Linked DNA regions of Astyanax mexicanus. The protein of the gene in region 4 binds, or shares a complex with, the protein of the main gene of each other region. Links are inferred from orthologs where the notes say so. Each region holds a gene or a part of one and is shown on either strand. Other genes may lie near its edges. The genes, in order: taf1a, polr1f, polr1e and polr1b.

Evidence for each region.
Region 1: polr1b (region 4) and taf1a share a complex: the UniProt entries of both Homo sapiens proteins name them as parts of the pol I pre-initiation complex. The link is inferred for Astyanax mexicanus from reciprocal best matches to the Homo sapiens genes POLR1B and TAF1A.
Region 2: polr1b (region 4) and polr1f share a complex: the UniProt entries of both Homo sapiens proteins name them as parts of the RNA polymerase I (Pol I) complex. The link is inferred for Astyanax mexicanus from reciprocal best matches to the Homo sapiens genes POLR1B and POLR1F.
Region 3: the proteins of polr1b (region 4) and polr1e are in contact, whole or in part, in a cryo-EM structure (PDB 8A43), measured with the Homo sapiens proteins. The link is inferred for Astyanax mexicanus from reciprocal best matches to the Homo sapiens genes POLR1B and POLR1E. Residues at the interface, in NP_061887.2 of Homo sapiens: Lys254, Ser258, Phe259, Ser260, Tyr262, Gln263, Gln266, Ser295, Thr296, Gln297, Ser338, Thr340, Glu341, Ala532, Cys535, Pro541, Ile542, Asp543, Gly544; in NP_071935.1 of Homo sapiens: Gln27, Ser29, Asn30, Gly31, Tyr69, Thr76, Leu79, Lys80, Cys81, Leu84, Cys85, Met109, Gln110, Pro111, Leu112, Phe113.

Annotation. Positions count from the first base shown.
Region 1 is NC_064408.1:54,374,909-54,383,181, reverse strand, and holds the start of taf1a (TATA box-binding protein-associated factor RNA polymerase I subunit A), read right to left. Parts: upstream 3,596-8,273; 5' UTR 3,412-3,595; coding exon 3,279-3,411; intron 2,070-3,278; coding exon 1,906-2,069; intron 721-1,905; coding exon 607-720; intron 406-606; coding exon 207-405; intron 1-206. Other genes in the region: mia3 (transport and Golgi organization protein 1 homolog), read left to right, coding at 8,252-8,273. UniProt on the Homo sapiens protein: Component of the transcription factor SL1/TIF-IB complex, which is involved in the assembly of the PIC (pre-initiation complex) during RNA polymerase I-dependent transcription.
Region 2 is NC_064410.1:2,913,110-2,921,240, forward strand, and holds polr1f (DNA-directed RNA polymerase I subunit RPA43), read right to left. Parts: upstream 3,301-8,131; 5' UTR 3,231-3,300; coding exon 2,953-3,230; intron 2,235-2,952; coding exon 2,093-2,234; intron 1,774-2,092; coding exon 1,565-1,773; intron 884-1,564; coding exon 403-883; 3' UTR 259-402; downstream 1-258. Other genes in the region: transmembrane protein 196, read right to left, coding at 7,599-7,667. UniProt on the Homo sapiens protein: Component of RNA polymerase I (Pol I), a DNA-dependent RNA polymerase which synthesizes ribosomal RNA precursors using the four ribonucleoside triphosphates as substrates.
Region 3 is NC_064432.1:23,893,811-23,901,542, forward strand, and holds the start of polr1e (DNA-directed RNA polymerase I subunit RPA49), read right to left. Parts: upstream 3,548-7,732; 5' UTR 3,500-3,547; coding exon 3,439-3,499; intron 2,481-3,438; coding exon 2,377-2,480; intron 2,278-2,376; coding exon 2,201-2,277; intron 1,976-2,200; coding exon 1,890-1,975; intron 1,641-1,889; coding exon 1,588-1,640; intron 673-1,587; coding exon 528-672; intron 63-527; coding exon 1-62. Other genes in the region: tmem192 (transmembrane protein 192), read left to right, coding at 4,345-4,374, 5,984-6,136, 6,500-6,761, 7,490-7,627. UniProt on the Homo sapiens protein: Component of RNA polymerase I (Pol I), a DNA-dependent RNA polymerase which synthesizes ribosomal RNA precursors using the four ribonucleoside triphosphates as substrates.
Region 4 is NC_064414.1:41,430,650-41,438,621, reverse strand, and holds the start of polr1b (DNA-directed RNA polymerase I subunit RPA2), read right to left. Parts: upstream 3,263-7,972; 5' UTR 3,207-3,262; coding exon 3,030-3,206; intron 1,585-3,029; coding exon 1,417-1,584; intron 1,223-1,416; coding exon 1,076-1,222; intron 988-1,075; coding exon 855-987; intron 754-854; coding exon 617-753; intron 115-616; coding exon 1-114. Other genes in the region: lysophosphatidylserine lipase ABHD12, read left to right, coding at 4,566-4,654, 5,279-5,400, 5,506-5,605. UniProt on the Homo sapiens protein: Catalytic core component of RNA polymerase I (Pol I), a DNA-dependent RNA polymerase which synthesizes ribosomal RNA precursors using the four ribonucleoside triphosphates as substrates.

The DNA.
Region 1 (8,273 bases), on a different chromosome or scaffold from region 4:
AATTTATTTAATGGTAAAAAAGTGGTAGGAAATAACTACAAACTTAAACCAAAAAATAATTATAAATATATATAAAAATCTATTTGGTCCATGGTTCCATAAGACATTGTGAAACCAGTGAAAATACATACTGTTGATTTTGAGTGTTGTATCTAACCTGATGAGAATGGTCAAAGGCCATTAAGGGGTGTGTAACACCTTCTTACCTGCTTCAGACACAGATGATTTCTTCATATGCCAGATGACATAATCCAGAAAGCCACAGTATGCATGGATAAGCTTTAAATCCAGAGACTGGGGCACAGACTGCTTGCCATACCTCCAGCTTGCCGCAACAGACAACTGACGTTTAGCATCGTAAATGTGACCATTCAACAGAAGGTGAAAAGAGTGCTCCAAACAGATCTATCAACAAACAAATAATGCCATTATCTCTGTGCATAAAAATATTATTTATTGTAACAGAGAATTTAAAATAATGATTTAAATATATCAAATAATTTTACAAATGATAATTACTTATATTTATCTTAAGATTTACCTCTGGGTTTAAATTAAAAGAAAAAAAGCAAACCAAAATCCAAATAGATGTTTAAATAATAATACCTTAGCATAATTTTTCACTCCAGAGTTTTTCATCTGTTCATACAAAGCATTAAAATCTTCCAATCGAGAGTTTGGATGATGCTGAAGAATCTCTGTGCCTAGTCTCCAAATAATCTGAGGATTAAAGAAAACACTTGAAACTGTAAACAATGGTGTCATTTAAACAAACAATTCAAAACATCAGTTGGTATGTCATTGTTTCAGCACAAAGTCCCACTTTGTACCTGTATTTTACAGAGCATCAGTTAACACTAGTACAATATCCTTAATTACTGCACAGTTATGAGATTGCCTTTTATAAACATTGGGATATAAATTTGCAAGAAAAAGTATGTGAACTCTTTGGGATTACATGGATTTTTGCATAAATTGATCATTAAATGTGTTCTAATATTCATCAGTCACAACAATAGACAAACACAATCTGCTTAAACTAATACCACAAAAAAGATATATGTTTGCCTGATTTCATTAAACACAACATGTTAACAAATTATGTGAACCTCTAGGCTAATGACTTTTCTAAGAGCTAATTGGAACCAGGATGTGATGAGATTGGTGATTGTGTTGGTTAAAGCTGCCCTGCCCTAAAAAACATACACCAGTTTTGAGTTTGCTGTTCTTAAAAAGCATTGATTGTGAATCATACCTCGCACAAAAGAGCTCTCAGGAGACCCACGTTCAAGAATTGTTGACTTGCATGTAGCTGGAAAGAGTTACAAAAGTATCTCTAAAAGCCTTTGATGTTCATGTGTCCACGGTAAAACAGACACTCTAAAAATGGAGAAAGTTCAGCACTGTTGCGACTCTCGCTAGACGTGGTCGTCCTGTAAAGATGACTGCAAGAGCACAGCGCAGAATGATCAATGAGGTGAGGAAGAATACTAGAGTGTCAGCTAAAGACGTACAGAAATCTCTGGCACATGCTAACATTTTAGTTGGCTTCAACGGAAAAAAAAAATCCTTCTGGAGAATCCTGACCTTAACCCAGTTGAGATGCTGTAGCATGACCTCAAGAGAGCGATTCACACCAGAAATCCCTAGAATATTGCTGAACAGAAACAGTTTTGTGAAGATAAATGATCCAAAATTCCTCCTGACCGTTGTGAAGGTCTGCTCTGCAACTACAGGAAATGTTTGGTTGATGTTTTTGCTGCCAAAGGAGGGTCAACCAGTTATTCAATAAAACCATGCAAACATATGTGATACTAGTTTAAGCAGACTGTGTTTGTCTATTGTTGTGACATTTAATTACCAATTTACGCAGAAATCCAAGTAATCTCAAAGAGAATTGCTTACCTCACAGGCTAGTGACTGCTTGTTGACTGTGGTATCTTCCAGTGTCTGAGAGTAAGCAGACAAGTACTGTGCTGCCTCTTGCCAATGATGGTGCAGCATAGCGTCTCTTATGGCCTTCAGACATAGTCTTGAAGATTCGTGAAAACCACTTTCTTTAGCCCTTGCTAAAATGAAATAATTATTGTAAGTGGAAAATACAAATAAGTAATGTCTGCAATCAAGTGTATGTACCCTTTCACCTACAAGCATAGCCTGAGGCACATACATTAACAAGCTCAATGCTGCCTTTGTGTTGGAAATCTCAAAAACGCATACACAAATTCATATTCACTGGTTGGAAACTTGGATTTTCCAATGGGCACATAAAAATATATTTTTAATAATTTTCCCTTATTTACAGGAAAATGAACATATAAGACAGATTCCTCTCACTGGATAAAACATTGCTCACCTAATGTTCAAACTAAATATGCTAAATACATACTACCTAAGTATGCATAGGATTTTTCCCAAAGGCATTCACGTTTCCAATCTAAAATATTGAATTAAATTTCCTTCCCCAGCCCCAGTCACCAGTGTGCACTTTAATGAAGGATTTGAAAAAACATTGAGTTTCTGTTATTAAACTTACAGAAATTGGATGAGCCTAATATTTCAATGTTTTACTTAGATTTTCTGCCCACCCAACTTATTATACAATTTATATCTGTAAAGATTTTCAACTGGAATTTTAGTGTTCCCTTACATTTTTTTAGACAGTATAAGTAACACGTCCATAATGTAATTCTGACTAGTCAGGTTACCACTGACTAACAAGTAATCTCACATTCTTTGCTCTATAATTATATTTAACTAGTTAAAACATTAAAGTTTCAAAGATCTACAATTTTCTAGTAAAATAATGTAGTACTAGTTCCACACATCTACACTGTTATTCTTACCAGGAAATAATAATATTATTACTAATCGAAACCTGAACTGTAGATGTCAATACCTGAGTTGAATTACAGTGTATATAGGCTACCTGGAATTACAATTTCATTCAATTTCAATTAACTTAAGAGCATCTAACTGGTAAAATGTAACTGTAGATAAAAAAGTGAAATTCCGTGTAAATCAGGGATATCATATGACTAGTCAGAATTACACTCAGGATGTGTTCCTGACAGTATGAGTAGTGAGAATGATTTTATAGAGCTGTAGATCTGATATTATTACTGGTAAATATTGTATTGCTGATCACTGCAAGGGGCGTTTTTTTCTAGTCAAATCTGATGTGTAATTTGAGTTTTTACCAGTTAAAACTGAATATGAAGTGTTTTTTATTGTGGTGCAGCAGCTGAGATTAGTGTATTTTTATTAAGATACATTACCCTGAGCGGTGGAGGAGTGCAGTAGAATAGGCGGTCTGATCTTCCTGGCAACTCTTTCATCCTCTGAAGAGTCTGAAAAGTCTTCATTTCCTACTGATCGAGAAATACCGAGCTCTGCTTCGATATCATCCATAACCGACAGACTCACAATAGACAGTCCTGTATGTTCAGTGTTCTCAGTTCTCTCTCTGGTGAGAGGGGCTGTGTGGTAAGAGCTCGTACAGGGGCTCTGCTGCTGTGGAGTTATCTGAGTGTGGCCTCTCTCTCTATCTACAGCGCGTCTCCCGCTCGTATGAAACTCACGTGCTCTTTGTTTTTCTACAGACTAACTGCAGGTTCACCGCATGGTTTCAGCGCATACCGCCATCTACCGTCGGAGAGGAACCAGAGCGTCTACCCACCTCCTGCCTCCTCCTCAGAGCACTGCTGCACTCCGCTAGAGGGAGTCCGCGACTGAGTCCTCAGTGAATGGAGCTACACTCATTAGTAACTAATCCAGGGTGTTACATCAATTCTGGGAAGTAGAATAAAGTCATTTAAAGAAAAATTAATGAACTAAATGAAGGTTTTTGAGTGGTCTAGTCAATGTCCGATTGAGATGCTGTGTCATGATCTTAAACAAGATGTTTATGCTCAAAAATCCTCCAATATGGTGGAATTAAAACATTTCTGTAAAGAGGAGTGGACCAAAATTCCTCCACAGAGCAGAGATGTGAAAGACTGGTTGCCAGTTATCGGTAAAGCTTGATTGCAGTTGTTGCTGCCAAGGGTGGCACAACCAAGTTATTAGGTTTAGGGGGCCAAACACTTTTTCACAAGGGGGCCTGCATTGTGCTCACCTAGAATGGCACACAGACATTATATGTTGGTCATTCTTGTTAAAGAAAGAGTAAAAGTGTAGCCACTGTGCTCTTCTCTAATAGCAGGTGATCATCACTGAAAACTGTATACTGCTATATATTGCTGTATACTGTAGATGCGGCTCAAACCGTACACATTCGTTCACCTGATGTCCGGTTGTCTTATGTAAATGAATGTGAGAAAAGTCTAGAAGTTCTGTTGTGTTTTCAAAAAATAGCAAATGGTATTCAGGCTGAGAACAGATAACATAACATGGCCAAGTTTCATATGTCTAGTTTTTTATTTATTTATTTCAGAATGACTTCAGATCAACTTTTTAAATACATTCTAAATTAGAATGGAATATTTGACTCATTTAGCTTAAAATTAGCAAACATTCTAATGAAACATTTGAATTTAAACATTTTAATTGCACACGACACGAGCATGCAGCACCAGAGATCTTGATTTCTATTTGCTGCTGTATAGAGGCTTCACTCATCACAGCAATGTTGGACACTAAGGCCTGTACTACTTGACATGGTAAATGATTTCTCACATAGACAGTCTAAGGGAAACAGAAAGAGATCATGTTTTATTTGTCAAGAAGCACACTTGCTGAAAAACTGAAAAATAAGCTATTTTTATGATAAGAAACACTCCTTCACAGACATGAATCACACACACACACACACACACACACACACATATATTTTAATTAGACATACACACATCATTTTGGTGGGGGTTAAAAAAATTAAGGTAAAATAATATTCTTAAAGGGTGACATTTTTGATATCATCTATGTGGTCCACAAAATATTTATTTCTGTCACAGCTGATAATCAATTGTTCCCATGCATTTTTACAGGATATTAATGCGGGTAATTCTTGACCACCATTGGGGCGATAATACAAAAGACTTAGTAGATTTTAGTAAAATGTATAAAAGGTAAGTTAAAATGAATGTGGCATGATTCCAGTAATATATTATTTAAGGAATATCTGAAATATGAAATGAGAACTTCTCATTTTGAAGATATTGCAAGAAAGATGTTTGGGTAATTTTTGACTTACTATGCATCTAAGGATTAAATTGATTGTGGATCGTTTATACAATATAACTGTTCACACAAGCTGGTGAGCTCCAATTAATTAAAATATAAGTGAAAAAAAAACAATGTATGACTATAATTATGCAATTTTGTGCATTTCTTTAATCAGTTTTATTTATGGCTTAGATAAGATCACACTTCAGGTTCAGATGAATTCCTTTTAGAGAAGATAGATAAGCAGCTGTAAACCTGTAGAAATACACACCAAGCCTATGTACACAATGTGCCATTTCTCACACTTCCTGAAAACAGTGAGAACTTGGATTATATTAACTGGTTGTGCAGTATTTTATATTCAATTTTCAGGAATTATGAAAATATCCATTATACCTTATATAGGGAGTAATTGTGACCACATTTAAAACCCCAAATAAGAAAAATGTCTTACATTTTTATCTTTATGTTTTTTTGTTCATTTGATTTATTATTGTTCATTAATTCTTGAGTAACAGCCCTGAAACACATTTCAGCAAAATATTCCAAAAGGACAGTAAAGCATTTCCCACTTTGTAATCTTACCATTGTTTATCACAGGACTTTATGAAGATATTTAGGCACAGAGGATATCAAGTGATTAAGTGTTTCGGGTGTTATTTTGTCTCATTCTTCATCTAAAGATGTGCAACAGTACAGGGATATCTACCAGGAACAGATCAGGACTGCAGGCAGGCCAGTTCGGTACCAGTACCTTCTTTTGCAACGGCCTGGAAAAGTTGTGGTCCTAAAGGCAGCATATGTAGCTCTGAGATCTCAATGTTCTTTACTGCATTGATGGTTGATTGGTGGATCATTCTCAGCTCTGCAGTGACACTGGCATGGTGGTTGTGTGTTATTAGTTTGTGTTGTGCTGGTACAACTGAATCAGACAACTTTTAAACATATCCTGTGGCCAGCCTCCATTAGAAAGTGTCCGGTACCCACTGAACTACAGAACTAAAGAATGATCAACACAAACTGTGCAGCAGATGAGTCTCTTTGACTTTATATTTACAGTGTGGAGCAGCAATAGGTAGGAGTGTCTATGGCATACACTGGGCACGCTTTGTTTAAACCATGCTGGAGCACGATTATCCCCCCTCCCCACTACCGTGCTGGCCTTTGCTCATGTTCACCCCACATGGTGTGTGGGGTGGGCAGTTATGAGACCCTGGGGTTAGCAGGGCCTAGATAAAATCTGGATGACAGGATACAGTTCAGTTTGAGCTCTCAGATTTTTTTTTTCCATTTTATTTACCAATGTACAAAAAACTAAATCACTTTCTCAATTAACTTTGGGGTTGCTTCTTGCATAACAACTATCTAATCTGGAGCTGCGAATATCAAACAAACTTCAGCCTTGTTATCTATAGGTATATATTTGAGTAAAATAAACATTGTGATTTTATTCTAGAAACTACTGATGACATTTCTCCCAAATTCCAAATAAAAACATTGTATATTTAAAATATAAAAAATAATACATTTGCAGAAAATAAGAAAAGGTCAAATTAACAAAATAGGTGCAGTGCTTTCAAACTTAAATAATGCAAACAAAAAAAGTTAATATATTTATTTAGAAACAACAATACAAAAGTAACTAAGAAAGAGTCTTTCAGTCTTTCAAACTGCTTTGCCACTTATGAGACTCCTGGCAAAAAATTCAAGCAGTTCAGCTTGATGGCTTGTGACCATCTACCTCTTGATTACATTCCATAGGTTTTCAATGGGGTTCAGGGCTGGAGATTGTGCTGGCCATGACACCATGATCTGGTGGTTCTTCATCCACACCCTAATTGATCTAGCTGTGTGGAATTGAGCATTGTCCTGATAGAAAAAGAAAAACATTCCCCAGAGTTGGGAACATTGGTAGAGTAGATAGAAGGAAGTTTTCTTCCAGGATAACCTTGTATGCAGCTTGATTCATGCGTCATTCGCAAAGACCAAACTGCCCAATTCCAGCCTTGCTGAAGCATCCCCAGATCATTGCAGATCACTGTCTCTTCTTTGCTTCTCTTTGAAGAAGTTCTTTTTTTGACTTGAGTCCAGTCTAAAACAGATAACAATAATTATTATTTAATTGGGAGCACGTTTCGGCTAAATCATTGTGAGTGGTGAAGAGCCTTAAACATAAAAACCTTTAAATGAACGTTGATTTAACAGATTAGAATATTTGTTCATTTTCACCCTGATATTACACACCTTAATCTTTAAAAAAAAATCAAGCATTATATAAAAAGCTTTCATTTATTGTAATAAAAGTGACTACAAATTATAATTGTAAATGTAACAGAAATTATTTTACAATTTATAAATAAATCTGCCCCTTTACAAATATAATGAATAATAATCATAACATTGGTACTTTCCTAAACTTCACTTTAAAATCAGTATTTTCCTGAATACAAATGAAACTTGTATTGTCCTCCAAACCTTTCGTTTTGTTACTGTTGTCTAGTTTTTATGTCTATTTTCAAACCTGCAGTAATTTGTTTGATTCCTGTTACTGATCTGATATTATTAAGTGGAGAAGAGAGTGGTCAGGCAGCTTCTTCAAGAAACCTGTAAGAGTCTTCAAAGCCCTCAAAGTTGTCAGAGTGTGAATAATCTTTTTTTTTTTTACTGCAGAAAGAAATAGTTTTGTATCACCTACACCTGTAGCCTGTATACGAGACAAGGCATGTTAAAAGGTTAATGTCAGAATTTTAATGCTAGCCAATAATGTCGTGTTAATGTTGTTTAAATGTCGTTTTTCCATCATCAACATACAAAATGTAATACAACCATACAATTATGCTTATTCAATGTTCTTTGTTGTTTGGTTTTCTTCTACAGAGTGTGGGGAAGTTCCTGTGAGTCTGTGTCTTTAAGTGTTCCCGGATCCTGTGTAACATGACTCCAGTCTTTTTTCTCCTGCTTGCCTGGAGCATCAGACTCGGTACAGACGCAGCAGCGGCTGCAGATCTGCTGACGTGTCGGCTCGGCTCGGCTCAGCGCTGTGCCCCCGCTCAGGCAGCCCGCTGCCCTATCCCAACCAGCCAACATGACAGCGCTGCTGTGGCGTT
Region 2 (8,131 bases), on a different chromosome or scaffold from region 4:
CGACTGAGAATAAGCGAGAGTAAGATTGATGTTGGAGTAAGAAGGTTTTTGTTCATTATGTTTAAAAAAAAAAAAAACTGCAGTGCACAACTTGAGTTTGTGTAATTATAAATAGCAGCATTTATTGTGTATTATTAAAATACTTAAATAAAAAGCTAATTTAAAGTCTAAATTCTGAAGCAACATTCGTCCACACATCCATTCAGTATTTCCTTACTGACCTCTATTGGTGAATAGGTGGAACTACACGTTACCAAGTGATATTATTTGCTTTATTATTTACCTTAGATTATTACACAATAATACAAACAATCTTGGCACTTTTGGAGGCACTTTTTATGCAAAAAAAAAAAAAAAAAAAAAAGAAAGGAAGTGAGGACAGTCACAGTGTAAAAGCACTTATCATTTAATCTTTTTCTTTTTCACTGAAGGCATGCTGGAGTCTTCATGAAGACCCTCACTCTCCTGTGCTTTCCTCTTGCGTTTACTCTTGTCGCTTAAATATCCGCTGGAGTCGCTGTTTAGGAGCTCAGTGTTTAAAGGCATTTCTTCATCTGCCTCGTGCCTTTTATCTTTCTTCTTCTTTTTCTTCTTCTCTTTCTCCTTCTCTTGTGAAGGGCCGTCAGAATCAGGTTTTACCTTTATTCCGTTGCTGTTAAAATCAAGTGTCTCCATCTCAGCCACCTGGTTGCCGTTGTCCTCCATTGTCTCCGAGTCTAGTTCTTTGTTCTTTTTCTTCTTCTTCTTCTTTTTGGGCTTCGAGGAGTCCATGTCCTCTGTGCCTTCGTCTTTAGGAGCTGATTCTGGTTCAGCTGCTGCTTCTTCGGTTGTTCTCTGTTCCTCCATTTCTGTACTGCTGACTGCAGCAACAAGCTCATTCACCCTGAAAAAACACCATTTTTTTTTTTTTAAACCCTGTACACTGCAGACACACAATGTCTATGTGTTGATGTGCACATACAGCTCTTTAAAAAATTAAGAGACCACTTCAGTTTCTGAATCAGTTTCTCTGATTTTGTTATTTATAGGTTTATGTTTGAGTAAAATGAACATCGTTGTTTTATTCTATAAACTACAGACAACATTTCTCCCAAATTCCAAATAAAAATATTATCATTTAGAGCATTTATTTACAGAAAATGAGAAATGGCTGAAATAACAAAAAAGATGCAGAGCTTTCAGAACTCAAATAATGCAAAGAAAAAAAAAAGGATTACATTCATTAAGTTTTAAGAGTTCAGAAATCAATATTTGGTGGCTCCTCCACCAGTCTTACACACTGCTTTTGGATAACCTTATGCTTTACGCTCCTGATGCAAAAATTCAACCAGTTCAGTTTGGTGGTTTGATGGCTTGTGATCATCCATCTTCCTCTTGATTATATTCTAGAGATTTTCAATTTGGTGAAATCAAAGGAACTCTAAGTGGTCTCTTATTTTTTCCCCCAGAGCTGTGCATAATCCATAAATTTAATGGCATTTGGGATAAATATGCTGACTGAAGTCTCACAAACTTTTTTTATAAAACATGATAACCAGTTTTATACTTTTAAAGCTCATCATACCTGTATTTTTCCAGTCTTCCTCTGATCAGAAGGACGCCAGCCACATCAGCGTCCAGCTGAAACACTTCAAACTCCAGATGGTCTCCAACCTTAAACCCAGAGTCTCTCCATTGCTCCGGGGTCAGAAGATGTGGCTTCATTACACAGGCGTTAAAGCAGCCGTGCACCAGACAGCCCACGTGACCCACCGCCATTTTATTTATCACACCCTAGTAAAAAAAACAACGACAAATTAATACTTTTTAAGACCTCAATAATTACAATTTAAGACCCAAACATCTAGTCATAATTTCTCTGGTTTTCCAACTAATTAGTTCTCTTCGTTCTCTCTTAGCTAGCTTGCTGCTATTGTTAGCTAGATCTCTGGTAATGTTAGCTAACTCTCCACTAACTTTAGTTCTCTCAACGGTAAGGTTAGCTAACTTGCCACTAATGTTAGCTAGCTCTCTGCTAACATTATTTCTTTCTCAGGTAACCTTAGCTAATTCGTCGCAATTGTTAGCTAGTGCTTGATGCTAAATTATTTACCACAAGCTTATCTCCTTTCTTTGGTTTGAAGACGACAAACGAGGCCTCGATGTTTAGGTGGATGAAACCTTGGTCGTCGAATATGTCCCCGTATTGTCCTACGATTTTGATGTGATCATACGCCAATGGCACACCTATCAAACTGAGAAGAGAAACATGCATTTTATAAAGGCCTAAACAACAACAACAACAATAATCACTGAATAAACTAGTCTTACTTCTTAATAACAAAATATTGATCAACTTCACTTCTTGTCAGTGTGATGGTTTCTCTATTGTTAATAGGGGAAAAAAATGAACCACCTGAGAGCAAATCTTTGAGTTATTTTTATTTTTAAGTACCTGTTACAATATACAATATATATATATATATATATATATATATATATATATATATATATATATTTTGTAAGTATATTTTTACTTTTGCTTCTTCTATATTTCGGCATATATCGCTAGGATTTTATTCCAATACATTCTAAGAAATACCTAACTTTTTGGTTACTGTCATAGGGTAAAAAAAATATTCTAGCTAATTATCGGCTCCACCTTAAATGGTGAAGCCAGAGGCGCCAGACGGTAGCTGCTGCTGGAGAATTAATGTATCTATCTGAACTGACCTGCTGAAGTATTTAAGGTGGAACAAAACAGTTAAAGTATCTTACCTGACTGTAACTGACCTGATTCAGTATTTAAAGTGGAACGGAACAGTTAAGCTATCTTCTTTCCCTGAGACTTACCTGCTGGAGTATTTAAGGTGGAACGGAACAGTTAGAGTATCATATCTCGCTGGGACTGACCTGCAAGAGTTTTTAAGGTGGAACAGAACAATTAATCTATCTTATCTCGCTGGGACTGACCTGCTGGAGTATTTGAGCAGTTCTGAGTTCAGCTCCTCCTGGATGCCGGTCTTTTTCCTCTTGATGAAGGCGGGCGGCAGGACGACGTGTCTGCGGTGCGACTCCAGGACCAGGCAGGAGTAGGGCGCCTGCACCAGCGCACAGGCCGCCGCGAACGACGGCAGCAGGCTGGCTGAGACCGGGGCGTCCCTGCCCGCGGCCGGGAACAGCGCGGCGGAACCTCCGGCGGGCTCGGAGACCTGATTCCGATCCTCATCCAACTTTTTAGAGTTCGCCATGAGAATCGCAGGAGGAGCACGTGGTGCGGGTCTTCTGCAGGGGAAAACTGAGCGCTGCTGGGTTTGGGTTCGGGGTCTGTACCGCCCCCTACTGTCCCGGAGCAGGAGGCGTTTAACCCACAGTGATCGAGAAGGGTAATGTTGCACAAATATATATAATGTGTATTTATATACAGAATATACAGCTCTGGAAAAAAATATCTTGATTTTACCAAATTATAATCCTCTAGAATATAATCAAGAGGAAGATGGATGATCACAAGCCATCAAACCAAACTGAACTGCTTGAATTTTTGCACCAGGAGTAAAGGCATAAAGTTATCCAAAAGCAGTGTGTAAGACTGGTGGAGGAGAACATGCCAAGATGCATGAAAGCTGTGATTAAAAACCAGGGTTATTCCACTAAATATTGATTTCTGAACTCTGAAATCTTTATGAATATGAACTTTTGAGGTCTAAAAGCTCTGCATTTCTTATTTTCATCAAATAAATGCTCTAAATTACAATATTTTATTTGGGTGAAATATTGTCGGTAGTTTATAGAATAAAACAACAATGTTCATTTTACTCAGAGAAACTGATTCAGAAACTGAAGTGGTCTTATAATTCCTTCCAGAGCTGTATGTGTATGAATGTACATATAAATATAAAATTAATTCATTTATACACTTATTAATATGCCTTACCATATGTCTGTCTTTGTTAAAGAGCATAATACAAAGTATTTTAGCATAAAAGCACATATCCCTTTTAATAAGATGTTAGATGATAAGGGTTTCTAGACACGGCCGAGATGTTCAATTGTGCAACAGAGATCAATTGTTGCATAGGCCAATCAAAAGTGTGAAGTACCTGTCTGTCATTTTGTGCATCAGCCAATTGTTTAAAGCAATTTGTAAAACGGCATTAAGTATTTTTATGTACACGCAAACATCAGTTGTTTTAAATATCATAATTATGTATTATATCGACTAATTGGCAAACATAAGTAAACTGACAAACAGGGTCATAAATGAGCTAGATAAATAAAATAATCCAAAATCCTACAGTAATCCTACTGTTGGACAGTTCAATTACTGTAGGTCTCTGACTATCTGACCTTCTGGTCTATAACCTGCCTATAACCTGTGAAGTTGTTTATAACCTGTGTGACTCTGAAAGCACTCTGCTGGCTTCCTGTTGCAGCAGGATCAATATCAAACTCATGCTCTTTGTTTGCAAAGCCTCTAAGGGCTCATTCTTGTTCTTCCTCTGAACCATGGTTCAGAACAACAGACCACCAGCATGTTTTTCTCTGGGTTATAGGCCTCTTGTTTACTCTGCGGTGATACAAACTCCCAAACCTGCCTATTTGTTTGGGTTTAAAAGAGTTCTTTAGGAACATATAGTGATTTTATATAGAAACAAGAAACAAATGGTGGTGGTAAAAAAAAAATATCATGAATAGCCTATAAAAATGGTTATGTACATTCATTATCAAAGAAATAAGTGCCACATTGCAATGCAATACATAAAAAAATCTGAATAGACTGATATGGGCAATTCTTGGCCATATATATACAGCTCTGAAAAAAAGAGACCACTTAAAAATGATGAGTTTCTTTGATTTTACCAAATTGAAAACTTCTGGAATATAATCAAGCGGAAGATGGATGATCACAAGCCATCAAACCATCAAACTGAACTGAACTGCTTGAATTTTTGCACCAGGAGTAAAGCAGCATAAAGTTATCCACAAGCAGTGTGTAAGACTGGTGGAGGAGAACATGATGCCAAGATGCATGAAAACTGTGATTAAAAACCACCAAATATTAATTTCTGAACTCTTAAAACTTTATGGATATGAACTTGATTGCATTATTTCTTTGAAGCTCTGCATCTTTTTTGTTATTTAGGATTTCTCATTTTCTGCAAATAAAGGGTTTAAATGACAATATTTTTATTTGGAATTTGGGAGAAATGTTGTCCGTAGTCCGTATAAAATGAATAAAATCATAAAATTGGCTCTAATATTTAATATTTTCCTGAATACAAATCAAACAGTTCACGTCTTTCAAACCTTTTGTCTAGTTTTTATGTCTATTTTCAATCTCAATTCCTGTTGCTGATCTGGAATTATTAAGTGGAGTAGAGAGAAAGTGAACAGGCAGCTTCACCAAGTGTCTTGTAGGACATTTTTTTTTTTAATTCCCTTAAATTTTCAGAATGTCAATAAGTTATTTTACTGCAGAAAAAGGGTTTTGTCTCGCCTACACCTGTAGCCCTTATACAGGACAAGACATTTTAAGGGGTTAATAAGTAAAAAAAAAAACTACACCATCTGTGGCATCACTCCAACGCTTTTATGCATTTCTTTTTTAAATCCTTTCAGATGCTGTACCAACCTACCACTACTACTCCACCTTCTACTGTTTGCATGCTTTAGTAAGACACTCTGGATAAGAGCAGCATCCAGCAAATGACTCAACGTAAATGTAAGTATTGACCCTCTCAGCCATTAGTGTCAGACCTGATGTAGCCTTACAGGCACCAGTGAAGGTCAGGCAGGCTGGCGAGTGTACAGTGATCAGAGGGAGATAACACTGCGTGTGCGAGTGGACAGTACTGCACGGTGGCATGTTACGTGCTGACGAGTGATGACAGTAGAACCCTGTCAGCAGCGGCACCAGGCTGTTTCTGCTGTCGTGGTCCTGCAGTCCTGCGGTCCTGAACACACATATCAGTGAGCTGAGTTCAGCAGTCTTTGATGATGTGCAGGTCTGTTTCACATAAGAGCACACCACCTTCAGTGCTTGATTTTAAACAGTAAAGAAAAATATAAATGTGTAAAAAAAAAATCATATAGTTGCAACAGTTTAAAACAATTCCACCATTCCACCAAATCGGTGCCATTTCTGTCCCCAGGAATTTACATGTATAAATGTGCATACAAAATACTTTTAAAATACATTTTATTATTAAGCATATTGTCTTGTGCATTGACCTAATTAAAAAAGTAAAATATGTAATTAAAACAGTAATAAAACTACTTAGAACACTGTAAAAATAGCATTTGTAACCTTTCCTCACTCGATAATTATAAACTTTACCATGAAATTTAACTATTAAAATCCTTCAGAGATTGTTCTATGTGTCCAAATCCCATCTATACTTAAAAAAATATATATATTTTCCATCATAAATCCATAATATTTAAGTTAAAATACACATTTTAGTTATGTCCCTGGGTTTTTGCATCAAGAGTGACATAAGGTTATCCAAAAGCAGTGTGTAAGACTGGTGGAGGAGAACATGATGCCGACATGCATGAAAACTGTGTTTAAAAACCAGGGTTATTCCAACAAATTATGATTTATGATCTCTTAAAATGAATCTCTTATGAATATGAACTTGTTTTCTTTTCTGGACTTGTGTTATTTCAGCCATTTCTCATTTATTTCTGCAAATAAATGCTCTAAATATTTTTATTTTTGGAATTTGGGAGAAATGCTGTTCCAATGTAGTTTATAGAATAAAACAAGACATGTTCATTTTACTCAAATATATACCATATATACCAATATAAATAGCAAAATTAGAGAAACTGATTTAGAAACTGAAGTGGTCTCTTATTATTTATTTTTTTCAGAGCTGTACAGCTGTACACACTTTTTACTTTTTATTCTTACTTTAAGATTTTGATTGCAGATTTTATTTTGATTTTTTTGCATAAAATCTTTTGGCACAAAATTCACTCCATACCTTAGCTTTAGCTTAAGTCACTGTATCCCACAGTAACCACTACAGGAGGGTCTGTTTCAGTCATTTTTATTTCGTTTTCATATGAAGCCTCTATATAAAAATACTGTAAATCAACAATTTATCCCTTATATAAGCATTTTACATTGTGCATTTTGTATGTTTGAGGTCAGAGCATTCAATATGCCATAACATTTCAGCATTACAATTTCAGCATCGACATTCCAAAAACCTCTCACCAGGGATTAATGGAGAGATGCAGGATGAATGCAGTAAGGAGGAGGAGGAGGGAGCGCAGGAGCGAGAGAGAGAGAGAGATAAAGAGAAAGTAAAGGATTATGCATGCTCATTTTGTGCTCATTTTGGTACGATGCTCTATGCATGTCATCAATATGCTACACTTCGTAATGACCTCCCCTCAGGTCATCGGGTAACTGAATGCTGATTGGCTGTCAGTCCAGGAGAGGCGATCTCTTTTTGCCACAGTAGTGTTACCTGACCCAGAGTCTGTAGTCTTCGGGGAGAGCTGCAAAGCATCCTACTGACAGCCCTCAGCCCCGGAGCGTCAGCACCACTTAGCGCACAGAGACGGTCCTGAAACCAGATCAAAACTGCGAAGACCCCCGACTGTCACGGCGATGCGCTGCGTCCGTTGTACGCGATCTGAGGAATGCCGTTACTGGAGTTATCGAGCATCTCCTGGTACGAGAGAAAGAGAAAGAGAGAGATTTACAAAGATTAGCAGTTCCTAATCAATTCCTCATCAAGATATCTGCATTAATTAATACTTTTAAAATCAAATTATGTTGTATATATTGCCGTTTTACACTAAAACTTTTAAAACTTCAAATGGTTCTTGGAGTGACATCATAAAATAAGCACTTTTGGGTTCATAAAGAGCCATGCTCCGGTGATCCGGTATAACACTGCTCTAGTTCAGTGAAGGAGTGTGCGTTGGGGGAGATACGATAGGATTTCGGCTCATGCTCATGAATATTCATACATGCAAACATATCGACTCCGCTATGTCATATGTTAATCCACAACATGCGTAATAATGCCCTGCTAAGTGCAGTTCAGCCACTGACCTATAGTCTTAGAGTCTCTGTAAAACACCAAATCCACCGGAGATCCTATTTAAACCTATAGCTACTTACACACAG
Region 3 (7,732 bases), on a different chromosome or scaffold from region 4:
CGGCGGGAGGAAGAGCGCCACCTCAGTCTGAGCTTCTGAATTAGCCACTTCCTGCTGTAAAACTGAAAAAGAGAGAGAATTAATAGTTATTATAACGTATTGTTTTGTAATAACACTTACTAACAACTCCCTTCAAACTGTCAAAATAACTACAGATAGAGCCATCAGTGTTTTTAGGGATGATACTGTTTACTGATTGTCCTTTAGTATGATTACTATAACCTAAAAATATAACCTATATTGCCAAAACTATTCGCTTGTATAAAAGCAAGCATCTAGGCATGTAGACTGTTTCCTACATAACTGCTTCATAAAGACATGATGAGCGAGTTTATTGAGGAAGAACTTGAATGGTCTGCACATAGTCCTGACTTTAACCTGATAGAACATCTTTGAGATGAATTAGAGTGGTGTCTCAGTGTCTGACCTAATACAAGTGCTTCTGGAAGAATGGTAAAAATTCCCATAAACACACTCCTAAACCTTGTGGAAAGCCTTCCCAGAAGTGAAGAAGTTGTGAAATTTACCCTCCAGTCCTTTCTGGTTGATGACGCTCCCGGCTGCTCGGTCCACCGCCTTCTGCAGCGTCTCGTTCCCGACCTCGTTCAGCCGCCGCAAGCTCAGAGCTCGCTTCTGCTTCGTCGTACCGAACGCCTCGATCAGAGCGTCCACCTGCAACCAACCAATATTGGGACACTTTTTACCTACAGAACCGTAAAGCCTGCTCTATTCTAAACCTTTATATGGAACCAATCCCCCTTTAAATCTCTATTCTAAACCTCCTGCCTGCAGGGAATCAGCCCTGTCCTTTTACTCTAGCACACTTTTTTCTCTTTCTTTTCTTTCTGTTTTCTCTATCTAAATCACGATTTTACATATTGGGTCCACCCCATGCCATGACATGCAGCCACTGCCGGTCGCAGCTGGTCTGAATCAGGACTGATTGAGCAGCCCGCTGTTCGATAGGTAGCACAACTCGACAGAAAACCGAAATACAGACTCAGCCCTCAGGTGACTACAGGTCGCTACAGGTGAGAGGAAGGCTAAGGCAGAACGGACCCTTAAAAGATTGAAAGTCACAAATTAAGAGACTAGAGCCCCACTGGGTCAGTGGAGTGACTGCCCGGTGCCTCCTGACTACCCATCACGGTGGCCACGCCCCCATCCCTTTTTAATCTAAAATATCTGAAAACGCTACTGATTTCTGAAGTGGTTCTCCATCTTACCTGATAACCGGCGCCTCCCACAGACTTAACATAACATATTAAAATATTTTTTAAACAGGACTGAGCTCGTACTTATATATATATATATATATATATATTTTTTTTTTTTTTTTTTTTTTTTAGGGTAAACATAGTTTTGAACCATTTCTTTGTCATTTGTTTTACATTTTTAGTAGGGGGTGAACAAAATAGATTATATTCGAAAATCGGATTTTTGGGGAAAAGATCATTTTTAGGCCATATTAAAGGCGTGGACCTGTTTTCCTCTGTAAAGCTGCTTTGTAACAACTTTTGTTGTAAAAAGCGCTATACATAAAAAAAATAATAATAAAAATGTAATTGAATTGCATTGTAGACTCACCTTGTCTCTGTAGGTCTTGGTCTCGTTTTTATCAGCGTCTGCTGCTGTTTCTCCTGAGAAAATGAAACAGTCCTGTTATTTTTCCAATCCAAATACTTTTCCTTCCTAATACTTAATGACATTTTCAATTATTCATTTGCCAATGATAAGATTAAAAAAAAAAAAAACATTTCAGCACTAAAAAAAAAACAAACTCTAAAGACTTTTAAATGGTCGAGCAAGCATCAGACAGTACACTCTCTCTCCCAGTGAAGATCATCTAAACACTACAGGTGTGTGTAAGGTGTTTGAGAGGTGTGTACCTGGTATACTGGGCAGCAAGTTGAAGAGTTGAGCATTATGAACCTTCATCTCCATCGTCCTTTTATCCAGCACTCCCACAAAATACCTACAGAATAAAAGTCCATTCAGTAACTTACCTAATTATATTACATATACTAGTGCATCTAAAAAAAAAAAATCACTTCATGCTTCCCTCTGCTGACAACATTTATGGAAATGCGGATTTCATTTTCCAGCAGGACTAGCCACGCTTTTAAAAAGTACCAATTGGTCTTATATAATATTCTAATTTTACTCTTAAACACATGTTTTAACCTTTAACTCCACCTACCTGCACAGATTGTTGCACTGTAAGGATCCGGGTCCGAAGTTATTCCCAACGTACGCCAGCCTGTCTGACTCTGCAGCCTAAACACACATACAGTACATATATATTTATATATTAATACAGCTGCGTGTGTGTGTGTGTTTAGTGCTGTAAATGAAATGTAGAATCTGTGTATTTACGATGATCCGGCGGCGCTTCTTCCTCGGGTTTGATTCGTCCACATGTTTAAAGAGTCTGAAGTCCAGCTGCTCAGAGTTCTTCACCTCTCCATTAGAGAACTTCACTGCAAACACAGAACAGAGAGGAGAACACAGAGTGGGAATTAAACTGTATTTAAAATAATGTAAAAATAGTTTAGCAGTTTAAATCATCACTGAATTACTAATGAGCTAAATAATCATTATTAAATGTAAACCATTATTATAAGATGATAAATCTGAAAAACATCCTATAATTAGGAGAAAGAATAATTGCAATACCTTTAAAATATGTATACAAATATGCAAAGCATGTTAATCAAACCTAGGAAAAAAATTTGAAAAATCAAGTGAAATTGTTATCAAATGACTCCATTAAATTCTTTTCTATACTATTAATGGTATAAGTATTGTCTGCTATTACTGTAGTGTTTTGGACTAATGTAAGGTCAAACTTATCTATTAATAATAAAATCTACTAAAATATCTATTTTCTTTTGCATAAACCAGATTTTGGAGTCTTACAAAACCAGCAAATCAAACTGTTATCAAATGATACCATTAAAGTCTCATGGACGCTTTTCTATGCTATTATTGGTTTAAGTTTCCTGTGATATTATTGTAGTATTTTGGAATAATTGGAGATCAAACTTAAGAAAAATATCTATTGGGTTTTGCATAAATCAGATTTTGGAGTCCTATAAAACCAGCCAATCAAACTGCAATCAAATGATACCATTAAAGTCTCATATATGCTTTTCTATAATATTAATGGTTTAAGTTTCCAGTGATATTATTGTAGTACTTTGGAGTAACAGCAGGTCAAACTTGGGAAAAAGGTCTAATCAATTAATATATTGTTTATGCTGATTCTGAACCGATACAGGAGCTACAGCTGCAGCACGTGGGTAAGAAACAGTAATAATAATCTGTTTATCTCAAACACAGAGCGTTCCTGCTGCAGATTAAAGCAGTAATAACTATAGTTAAAGTTTATATTAGAGATATATGAGTTTATAACAGAGATATGAGGGTTTAAATCACCGATCACTGCGTCCTCCTGCCCGCTCGTATTACACGCTGTCCACGCACAGGGCGCCGCCATGCTGTAGTGAGGGTTGCCAGGTCCAACAAAAATATCCAACCCAAAAGTCAGTCTAAAACCCGCCCTTCAGAAGCTTAAAACCAGCCCATAATATATGTCTGTCACACGTTTAAAGCAAAAGGCAAAACAACTATGAGTGAACGACTTAGTATTTTGTTTATAAGGGATTTATTACCAGTATTGCCATATATCTAAATAATAGTCATTAATTATATTGTGACATCAGTGTTGTATTAGTTATTTTATAACATGTTTTAAATATCATCATCAGTCATTTAATAGTAATATAATTAGCTAAAAACGGACTTTTAATTACTCTTTTCTGTATTCGCCCCTCCTGAACTCTCTTCTCTTCTCTTTAACATTTATTTTTTCATTGCCTTGTGATTTCTGGTTACATTGTACATTGTTTCTATTTCTAAATAGTAGAGTTTGGCTATGAACATTTATTAACTTGACTTTTTCCCTTTACTGTTTTCCAAAAATCTGATCTGAAAATTCTCAGTTAAATATGCTATTAAGAATTTGAATATATTTTTTTATTATTGTATATTAATAATATTATTATTAATGCTGTTTTGTTGTATGATAAGAATATATATATAGAAGAAACCATAAATATAAACGTGAATAGAAAAAAGGGCGTGGTAGTGGTAGTATTTTAAAGGACAAATTAGACGAAAAAGACTTTTAATTTGACGGGTGTCAGCAGCTCCCTGGTAGCGGAAGTAGAATGTGTGGTGTTTTGAAGCTGGTGTATAAATGTTGAGTAATAAACTGTTTATATGATTTTATTTGTAATTTAGTAGAGTTTAGAGAGTTTAATAAACTACAGCAGCTTTATTATGGGCTCTAAGCGACCCGCAGCTCCTCAGGTGAGATTTAAACCTGTGTGTTTGGGTTATTCTGGTGTAAATAATGCACTAACAACTAATTGTATTTATATTGTTTATATTGTTGTGTTTTTTATTATTTTTATTTATGGAGCGTTTTTTAATTGTGTTTAATAATAAAAGCAGAGTTTATTTTACATTTATATGCATATAACTTATATATTTAACAAACAAGCAGTTTATTGGCTCTGTATTTCATAGAGTGTGACTGTTGAGTTATTCAGTTGTTGAATCGTGTATTAATATAGTTAAATCAAGATTTTCTGCTATTTTAGCTGGTTTTAGATTGTTTGCATTGGGTTCTGTTGTGTTATATTGTGTTGCATTGTGTTATATTGTCATCTATTGGGGTTATTTTGGGTTCTGTTGGGTTATATTGTCTTTTATTGTGCTTATATTGAGGTATATTGTGTTTAGATCTATTGTGTTTATATTGAGTTATTTTGGGTTTCATTGTATTTATTTGGTTCTTTTGGGATATATTGTGAATATACTGGGATTTATTGGGTTTTATTGTGTTCTCTTGTTGTTATATTGTGTTTATATCGGGATCTATTGGGATATATTGTCTTTATATTGGGTAATATTGGATTCGATTGTGCTTGTATTCTGTTTATATTGGGTTATATTGTGTTATTCGGATGTATTGCATTCTGTTGCATTTATTGGCTTCTATTGTGATTATTTGGTTCTGTTGGGATATATTGTGTTTTTTGGATCTATTTGGCTAAATTGTGTTTATATTGTGTTTTCTTATTTATGTTGTGTTTGTATTGTTTTATAATGGGATATATTGGGTTACATTATTGTTGTATTGTGTTTATTTTGGGATCGGTTGGGTTATATAGTGTTTATATTTGGGTTTTTGGGTTATATTGTTACTATGTTCTATTGCGTTATATTGTGTTTTAAATTGGGTTCTATTGGATTCTGTTGTGTTTATGTTAAATTATGTTGGGTTATATTGGGTTCTACTTGGTTCCTTTAGAAAAAACGCCTCAGTATTGAATGTGGGCCAAGGTTATTCAGGGTTATTTAGGGTTATAACAATATGTTTTGTGCTGGACCCTGTTTACATGGAACAAATAGATCCTATTCTGTTTTTACCAAACTGTACATTTATATTAGTTTTGTCAAAAAGGTGTACTCTAAAGCCTGTAAAATTTATTTTGGTTTTGATTTGTTTTAATTAGTTTTTAGTCTCTGTCTGGTATTAAACAACCTTAAATGTAATAATTAAATTTCCCCATAACTGCAGATACCCTGTGTATGAGAGCAGGGCTCATAACGGCCTCTCCGTCTTTTTTATAGCTGATTGATACAGTTCTGTCACAATGGGGCCGTTGGTAAAGGTAAAGGTGAGGTGCTGCAGTAGCAGAGCTGTGGGATTGATCTGCTGGACAGTTCTCACTTTTGGGAATAAAGAGTCTGAACGATGATCATTCTCAGCTCTTTTAGAAGCTCCGACTGAAGTGTGGCACATCAAACAGCCTCCATCTAAACACTTCCTACTGCAGCCACACACTTTATACTCTCACTGATCTCCTGTCACTGATCTCCTGTCCTTATGTGTGTGTGTGTGTGTGTGCAGAGTAACCCCAGTACTGATTATACTCAGAGTATAGAGGATGACCCGCTGATGGACGGGCCGCTCATATCTCAGGATGCTCTGGAGTCGGCCATCAGGAGAGAGTTCCAGAAACTTCCCACAGCCTGGATCACCGGATTACTGACTGCAGCACACGTCAGTACACACACACACACACACACACACACACAAGTGTGATTTAAAAACCAGGGTTATTCCACCAAATATTTATTTCTGAACTCTTAAAACTTTATGAAAATGAACATGTTTTCTTTGCATTATTTGAGCCATTATTTAATTATTTCAGCCATTTCTCAGTTTCTGCAAATAAATGCTCTAAATGACAATATTTTTATTTGGAATTTGGGAGAAATGTTGTGCGTACTTTATGGAATAAAACAACAAAGTTCATTTTGTTCAAACATATACTCAAACATGAGACATTTATTCTGTGATAAGTAACCAGTTGTTGAATCTGTAAGTGTGTATGATGTGTGTGATCACTGTGTGTGTCCTCAGGTTGCGTATGTGAGCGTGAGCGTGGTGCTGGCGGTTCTGTGCTGGTTGGCGGAGGATCACTCGGAGCAGTGTAACGCAGTGCTGAACGGGGTGGACTCTCAGACCGTGGTGCTGCTGGGGAAGGTGGGGCTGTGGCTGCTGGTGTTCGGGTTCGAGTGGTGTGTGAACCACCACCACACTACAGCCAGGAGGAGAGGATACCTGCAGTTCTACAGAGCCAATCAGGACCTCAAACGCCTGCCCCTGTTCATACACTCTGCAGGTACTGACCCACACACTGCAAGATCCCAGAAATCCTCCAGGAGGCAGCATTTCCCATCACTCTCTTAATACACTGCATTTACACTCAGTTTAATACAGCACAGCTCTAATTCTGACCAATACACTTCATTTACACTCAGTTTAATACACTACAGCTCTAATTCTGACCAATACACTTCATTTACACTCAGTCTAATACAGTACAGCTTTAATTCTGACCAATGCACTTCATTTACACACAGTTTAATACAGTACAGCTCTAATTATGACCAATACACTGCATTTACACTCAGTTTAATACAGTACAGCTCTAATTCTGACCAATACACTTCATTTACACTCAGTCTAATACAGTACAGCTTTAATTCTGACCAATGCACTTCATTTACACACAGTTTAATACAGTACAGATCTAATTCTGAAAAATACACTTCATTTACACTCAGTTTAATACAGTACAGCTCTAATTCTGACCAATACACTTCATTTTCACTCAGTTTAGTTTAGTACAGTGAAGTAACATTCAGTTGAATCCAGTTTAATTTCAATTCATTTCAAATACAGTGCAGCCAAATCCAGTTTAATCCAGTTCAACTCCACTTAAGTTGAATACAGTTCAGCTCCATTCAGTTTAATGCTGTTAAACTCCTCCCTTTTCTCTGCTGTTCTCTTTATCTCTCCTTTCTTGTCCTTTATTACCCCTCGCTGTCTCTCTCGCTCTCTCCGCAGGTAATGCGGCGCTGCTGGTGGTGATTGGCCCCGCCCCCCTGCTGGACAAGAAAGTGAAGAATCTCTCTGTTTATCTCCTGCTGTGCATCATCTGTCTGGAGCTGCTCTTCACTCTCATATGCCTGATCGTATACACAGGTACATCCAGCAGCCCTGACTCACTCACTCGCTGCCTAAACACTCCCACTCCTTCCCTCACTCCATTCCTTCTTACACACTCTCACTTACTCCCTTCCTCACTAC
Region 4 (7,972 bases):
CTCTTCCATCACCAAGCGCAGCATCTCAGACACACAGCTCTTATAGAAGGAGTTCTCCTCTTTGCCTTTTATCAACTCCTGATAGATCTGGTAGTCTGAAAAGTCCACCAGGGCCTAAGATCCACAGACGACAAAATAATAAATTATTAAAAACACATACTTTACTTTTTATACAAGACTAACATTCATAACAATAACAATTTACTAACATTTATATTGGAAAACCTTTTTAATTATCCTGCATGACACAATATTAATAACATTAATTGTATATACGAGACTGGAGTATAATAAATGATACTGGCAGATATCATCTGTCATGAAAAATACAATGTTAACAATGTGAATTTGAATTTGTATCAGTACTTTTATGACACGGCACATCGTCTATGTGTCTATTGCGCATGCCACATTTCAGTGACAATGCAGAAATTATATATTTTGCAGCCCTAATCTCATAATCATAAACTTAAACATAAACCATGATCATAAAACTGACCTAATTACAAGAGGCAATGATCATATTTACACAAGGAATCTGAGCAGTTTTGAAGAAAAACAAACATTAATTGAATTATTAAAATGTTAGAGGCCCTAGAGCTTAGCTATCATTTACCTTAAGAGCAAAACCAAGCGGAAGGAAGAAGAGCTCTTTGTGATAAATGAAGTTAAGCATGATCGTTCCATTGTCCAGGTAGTGAAGGTTCATGTTAATGGCTGTGTGCTCATCCTTCACACAGTGCACTGCAATACCTGAGAACACAGAACCCAGATTAGAAATTCAAGTAATAAACCAGCTTATTCTCCAGCCTCAGCTTGATCAATTTATTGAAATGTTATTAAAGAGCACCTACCGTATTGCGTGTATCCCTGCCCTCTGCTTTTAAACTTGGGTCTTGACAAAGCAATGGGAAAGTTTCTCCTTGGCATGATGAGCATTCGGATTACTTTCTCAATACCATTCACTATAAAATAGCCTCCCATTTCCTGCAGAACATCAAAAAGTTGATTAAATATACATTGTATTAATGTATTATTTTTTCTGTGGTTGGCAGATTTCAGAATTGTCTTGTACCTCTGCCTCTTCATGATGCTCGATAAGCTCTTTTGGGGAGAGGCCATGGAGGTTGCATAGCTTAGACTTCACCATGATGGGCACCTGGCCCAAAGACTGCTTTATAATTCCTTTAGGGACTCCATTCACTGACCAGCTGACGTCTGCCTACAAAGAAAAACAGAAAGGTGAGAAACAAGACATCATGTGGAGTCATGTGCTGAAATTCAATAATAAGTCATACTATAGCTGTTCAGCATACAATGTATTATTAAGGACAGTTTCGAAATATTTTAATGTCACTATTTACTGGATGTCCACCAAGAGTTAAAGTACAGAACAATGCAGGAAATTAAACCTACCACCAGTTTGCCTCTGTATGTACACCTCCTTCCTCTACATTCTGCAGGAAAGACACGAAGATCCTTACAGATCCCTCCTTTGGCTACAGTAGGATTGTGCACGGTGGCCTCCACAAACGCCAGGCTGATCCTGTCCCCCTTGTGCATGAACTCCATAGGAGGAATTGCCTGAGAATAAAGGAAATGAGGTATCCAGCATTTATTTGGCTCAGTACATGCAGCATTAAAACAACAGCCTTTTTAGATCCTGTCCAGACAACACCACCAAAACACACTGTACGTGACTGCTCAGTTACACTGTTATGCACAGTAAACCTGCTAGCTCAATAACAGAGAGTAATATTCAGACAGTAACTAATTTACTGCAACCAGATGTTAATCAGACTGGCATCCCCACCATACTAAAATGTGAACAATTCCAAACAACTACTGTCCTTCAATGTTTTTCTTTATTGAATGTATTTTGTACATTGTACAATAATATTAAAGACTTCAAAATATTTAAGGGACACACATGGAATTATGTAGCTTGTTGGTAAATTAAAAAGTTTTTTGTCTGCTACAATCCCCTTCCCCTAACCTAAACCCAACTAAGATGGGTGATTTGGGATGAGCTGGAGCTTCACAGTGTAAATGAAAAGCAGCAACTAATGTTCAGCACCTCCAGGAACTCCTTCAAGACAATGAAGAAACTATTCTAGGTAACTCTACTTCACAAAGACAGATTAAATTACCAAGAGTGTGCAGATCTGTCCTCAAAGCTAAATGTGACTACTTAGAAAAAATAACCCATAAGAATCAAGATACATTTCTAAATATTGATATCAATTTCAAAATCAGATGAATTCAGTGAGCAGTTAATGTTTTGGTTTCTTATTGCAGAGAAATGACTGTAAATATTTTAAGGTTAAAATCATGACGTAACATAAATAACAACAACATTTTCCTAAGAAAACAGACTAGTAGTAGTTATATGGGGCGTAAAACTTTCCTTAAAGGTTAACAAAAAAAATTCTGTACAAATTCTGTAAATGAATGTCCAGTATACAGTATATGTCACTTAGGGGTTTCATGAGTTAAAGTAAAGAAGAGAATGCTGTAAGAAAAAATTACACAGCTTACACAGCTTTTAAAGGATCTGTGACACATGTCACCATTGGCTCTTTTGGGCCAATATATATATATATATATATATATATATATATATATATATATATATATATATATATATATATATATATGTTTTATATATTATTATTATACAGGTTCTGTTTATAATGGTACTGCCATTCCTTTTCAATCCACCCATCACAAATGCACTATTGTCTTTTGTTCATGAATGTGAAAGAAAGAATCTGTGAGCTTGTTGTATTGTACCTATAGTGTCTCTGTACATATGCAGTATTGACAATAAAACTGCTTGACATGACTTGACATTTTAATGCCTAAAATGATAAATTCACAACGTAAAAAAATCATAAAACTAAGAAAACGCAGTGAAGGAGAAGAGGTATGTGCAGACTTTTGACTGGTACTGTATACACTGGTTTAATACAGGGAGAATAACAACAGGGGTGGCCCAGCTCCACGTGAGCACAGTGTGCTGAACCTACCTGAACCACTTGGGCCAGTCCATCACTGAGCGCCTGGTCGAAGGAGTCGATGTGCGCTTTGACCAGATCCTGCACGGCCGCCTGCTGCTGCTCCTTCGGGAGCCCGTAGCCGGGCTGTGTGAGAGGTTTGAGGCTGGGCGCAGCGGGTAAACTGCTCCACTTCGTGCTGTAGTCCATGCTGTCTCCTCCTCACGTGGGTCTGCTGCACAGGAACCCGGGCTGTTCACGCTGATCCGGTAACAGAGGCTACTGCTGCTGGTGCGTTTCAAAATAAAAGTCCTTGTTTTGTGTTGTATTAGAAAATATGTTATTATTTCAATATGAAAAGTATTAATAATTTAGCTTTAAGCTCCACATATCCCCATTTATTGTTTGACTCACTCTGGAGCTCATTCTAAATAAACAGAAATGTTTATGTGAGTATTTAACTCTCTATTATTATTTGACATTATCTGCTAACAAGGGTTACAGCGTTTTCAAAATAAAAGTCCCTAAAAATTCTATGATAGCTTTTCTGTATAAAAAGTATTAATCCTTTATATTTTTAACATGAAGCTCGGGAGATCACTCGGGACCGCCTTCTAACTCAAAATACATGTTTACGTAAGTATTCTCCTCTCTATTATTATTAGGGATTCACTGGTAACACGGGCTGTTGCGTTTCAAAATAAAAGTCCCCAAGCTGAATACGGAGAGGCTTCGATCGGATCTTCTTACACCCACTCCAGGTAAAGGTGTGTGTTTTAGTTAGGTAACTGGACTAAAGTAGGTAGAAGTACATTTCCAAAAGCGTACAGTAAGATTACAGTAAACAGCTGCATATCATTTATTTGTATGGCACTTTTATAGCAGCACAAGTGCAGCAGAAAAAGAACTGTAAAATAGAACTGAAAAAGTTGAAAAAACAACAACTGTTTAGGTATAAGTTATACGTCTGAATCGCATTGAATCCTGACTTGATGGCTTGCTGCCTGCACTAGACTAGGTGTAGTGATGAAGTTTTTGTGTCTGAATCAAAAGTCAAAAAAGAGTCCTTTCAGCTATTAATGGAAAAAGTAGGGTTTAGTGTTTAGTGTCTTTTTTCTTACTTTAGTATTCTTCATAATTTCTGTATTGTTACAGGCTAACCTTCCTTCCTATCCTGATTTTGTTGACGTCACTCTTCTTTACTGTCCAAGGATGGTTTACAACAAGATGTTGAAGTATGGTTGTGAGGATTTGGTTGCATTCAGAGATAAGAGATTTATAACCTCTAGCACACATTCAACATTCATTAGAAGGCGTGTCCTGAAACATCTGATCATATATAGCTCAGTACCTCTACTTGATGCCAGGTTCAGGGTAGTTGATTAACTGGAAGCTTGGTGTACGTAAACAACATCACCAGATGTATTAATTAAGGGGCAGAGTCCAGGGTTTGTGTAGGGCAGAGTGAAAGGTGGGTGTAGCTGAAGGAACACCATGCTGCCTGTCTGTTGTGTTTAAACATTGCTGGATATTTGTACAAAATTAACAGGAACCCACAGATTCTTACTCATGATGAGGAGAAGAGTTGATGGAGCTGCTGCTTCTGATAGCACTGAGGGAAAATCGGGGAAGGACAAAGCTGTGAAAGTGAGAGCAAGGTTAGTATCACTTGTAAGTGAAGCCTGATGGTGTGTGCCAGATAGATGGGACATTCCATTTACAAAGTGTCTAATATGTGTGAACCAGGACTGTCTTAGAAGGCATCACCACCCACATTGGACAGTGCAATTACTCAGGTTTCATGGCACAACATGACAAAAGTCATGGAACATGATAATATTTCCTGTCCTATGACAACTACCATGTTTAGCATGTCCGCATATAACTCAGAAGTGAAGTTTGATCTCTTTATATCTGTTAATAAACTTGAAAATAAATTAAACATGATCTTCTTTCTACGTTTGCTATGATGGACTAGACGGACTAATCTGTTGCCGTTATGATCTGAGTATTACCCAATTAAATCCCAGATTATGCTGCTTGCCATCAGTAGCCGGAGTCTGGTGGGTTGATGGCGCTCTCCTCTCACATTACTCCTAGTGTAATGTCAGTCAGCACAGGTGGCTGTTAGCTGTTGTATCAGAGCTTGGTTGTCTTCTAATCAAGAGAGAAAATAGGATAGATTTTGTGATATTTTATTCAATTTAAGCCTATACTGCTCCATAAGATCTCAATAAATGTTGAGTAGTTTGTATTTGTTTGTCCATCTCTTTCTTTTCAAGATCTTCATGGAGAGTGTGGATAAAATGGACGTTCCTGGTGCTCTGTGTTCTGTATGCGGCCCCACGGATTATACCTCGCCTCTTTCCTGCCTTTGTACAGCACATGGTTTATTCACATGCTAGTATGTTTTACACCTTCACTTATAATGAAAATAAAATGTCGTATGTGAAGTTTATTGCAGCCTTCAAATAAACACACATTATTATTTTTATTAATCCTTCCTCAGTATTGTGGTTCGTTGACCTGAGTCGTCCTGCTGACCTCGCTCTTAATCACACCATTAATATGTACCTGAGCTCTGAAGAGGGGATAACACTGGGCGTGTGGTCAGTTCAATGATCTCTGCATGTTATATGTTCACTTTGTCAATTAATTTTCTAATGTTCTGTATATTGGCCAGTTGTGTTTATTATGATGTTTTTCTGTAACTGTGTGTTAGGCACACTGTGCCTGAGCACAAGTGGAAGGAGGCTCAGGGGAAGGATCTGGAGTGGTATGAGAAGTCTTTGGGTGATGGGTCACCTGTTTTCATCTATCTACATGCAAATATGCATAACAGGTGGGCAGACCTATCTTTTAAATACATTTAGATCACCATGAATAATTAAACTATACACTTGGGGGCAGATTTTCAAACTGGGATTAAGCCTAATATTAGACAACAGAGTCTTTTGAATGAGAATTAAAAAAAGGAAATATAGGACTAGGCTTAATTTCCTAGAAACTGTCCCTATGTGTCCAAACATATGTGGACACCCCTTTTAGCGAATGCATTGCTACACAGATGTGTAAATGCACAGCTTGTCCAATCACTGCAGAGAAGTACTGCCAATAGAACAGAACTCTCTCAAGCAGATAAACATGAACCTATTGGCAATGTGCCTCATGCCAGGCATGGGGTGGAGGGTTATATTTCTCCCAGCACTGAGCTGTGGTTCTGGGAATGAGTTGGGGTGGGGAATATGTCGCAGATTGTTGCAAATCCTCACACAATGCAGCAATGTTCTAAAACCTAGTAGATAGATCTAGTCTTCTCTGGACTGTGGAGACAGTGGAACAAAATCAGGATAAACCTTTTTTTTCTAATACCCTTGTTTTTAGTAGAAATCACACTTGCAGAGTGATCTGTAATCAGCAAATGCTTACCATCACACATTCAAGTCTGTAGCACACATGAAATATAGATGATTTGTGATTCCAAATTATTTGTATTTCTATTCATTAAAATTCATAAGTTATATGAGGTGCTGTTTCTGTTGATTGTCCTTTTTTTGTATTTCCTTATAAAAGAGCCGCCCCCCATCGGATAGGAGTTGCCAACGTGAGTAGCTCCTCTGTCATCACTGTTAGAAATCTAAACCATGTGATGCTGTAATGCTAATGATGTGTCCTGCTGATGGATTATCTGGTGTTACAGCTCCTGAGTTCTCTGGGTTATCATGCAGTTGTTATGGACTACAGAGGTTAGTTAAAATAAAAAAATATCTATATGCTAAAAATATTTTAAATAGTTTCTCTGTAAACACTTTTTCTCTTTTAGGATTTGGAGACTCCACTGGTGAGCCCACAGAAAATGGACTGATCACTGACTCCCTCTACCTGTATCACTGGGTAAAGGTCCGCAGTAAAGACAGTCTGGTGATCATATGGGGACACTCAATAGGCACACTGTGAGTATGTGTTGATGTTTTAAAATAACAGTTTCTTGTATTTTTACTAATATAGGCCTAAAACACATTCTAAAAACAGTTGTCATCTGACTACAATACACATTTTCACTGTGTGATGATCCATCCCAGTTGATGTCACTTCTGGAGATAGTTACCATAAGGCTTCTGTTTTGCACAGTACAGTTTTAAAGGGTATTTGAGAATGTACCTCTGTACTGTAGAGCTTGATAAATTATTGTAATTTAACCTCTTACCCATGTCTATAAGCTATTGCTTAAGGGCGGTTCTTAATGTAGTTTGATCTGAGGGATTGGAATTTACAGGTGTTCAGTTTGAGCCTGTGCTCTTACCCTTTTCACTCTGAAATTCCTTTCTATTATATACTGTGGATAGAAAAATATGCAAACCCTGTTCAATTTGTCTTTGAGAAATATAGTTTTTTTTTTAATTATCTTACTAATATTGAGTTTTACAATATTTGCTAAAAGCAAAGCTACATACAGGGGAACAGTATAAGCTGTACACATACAAGCGTAATATAAGATATAAGTAAAGTATAAGAACACCTTTTCTTTAGTGTCAATTCTAAACTCAAAAGGGACGAAACATAATAGGATGTCTGCCCTTTTTTTAATTGACTTTTTTTGACAGAATACACTGTAGTTTGATAAATTTATTATGAGAACTGTGTTTTAATCACTTTCTAATGGATTTGTTACTGGAGATCGTCTCGTTGCATCTCAAACACTCTTTTTTTGTGGATACTGCATCACCTGACTGAAATCACATTTCAAGTTACTGTGCCTGTTACAGGGTTAAAAGCATGATGTCTTCTGAATAATATTGATAATCTTAAATAAGGCCATTAAAACATTTGAAGTACAAACAGTATTTGATTTAACTTTTATTTTTTTATAGCTTCATTTATAGCTGCCAGAACATGTTGCTTTTGTGTTCACAGTGTAGCAACTAATACTGCAGTGAAACTTCAGGAGCAAGGTAATAACTCACCTATAGATTTTG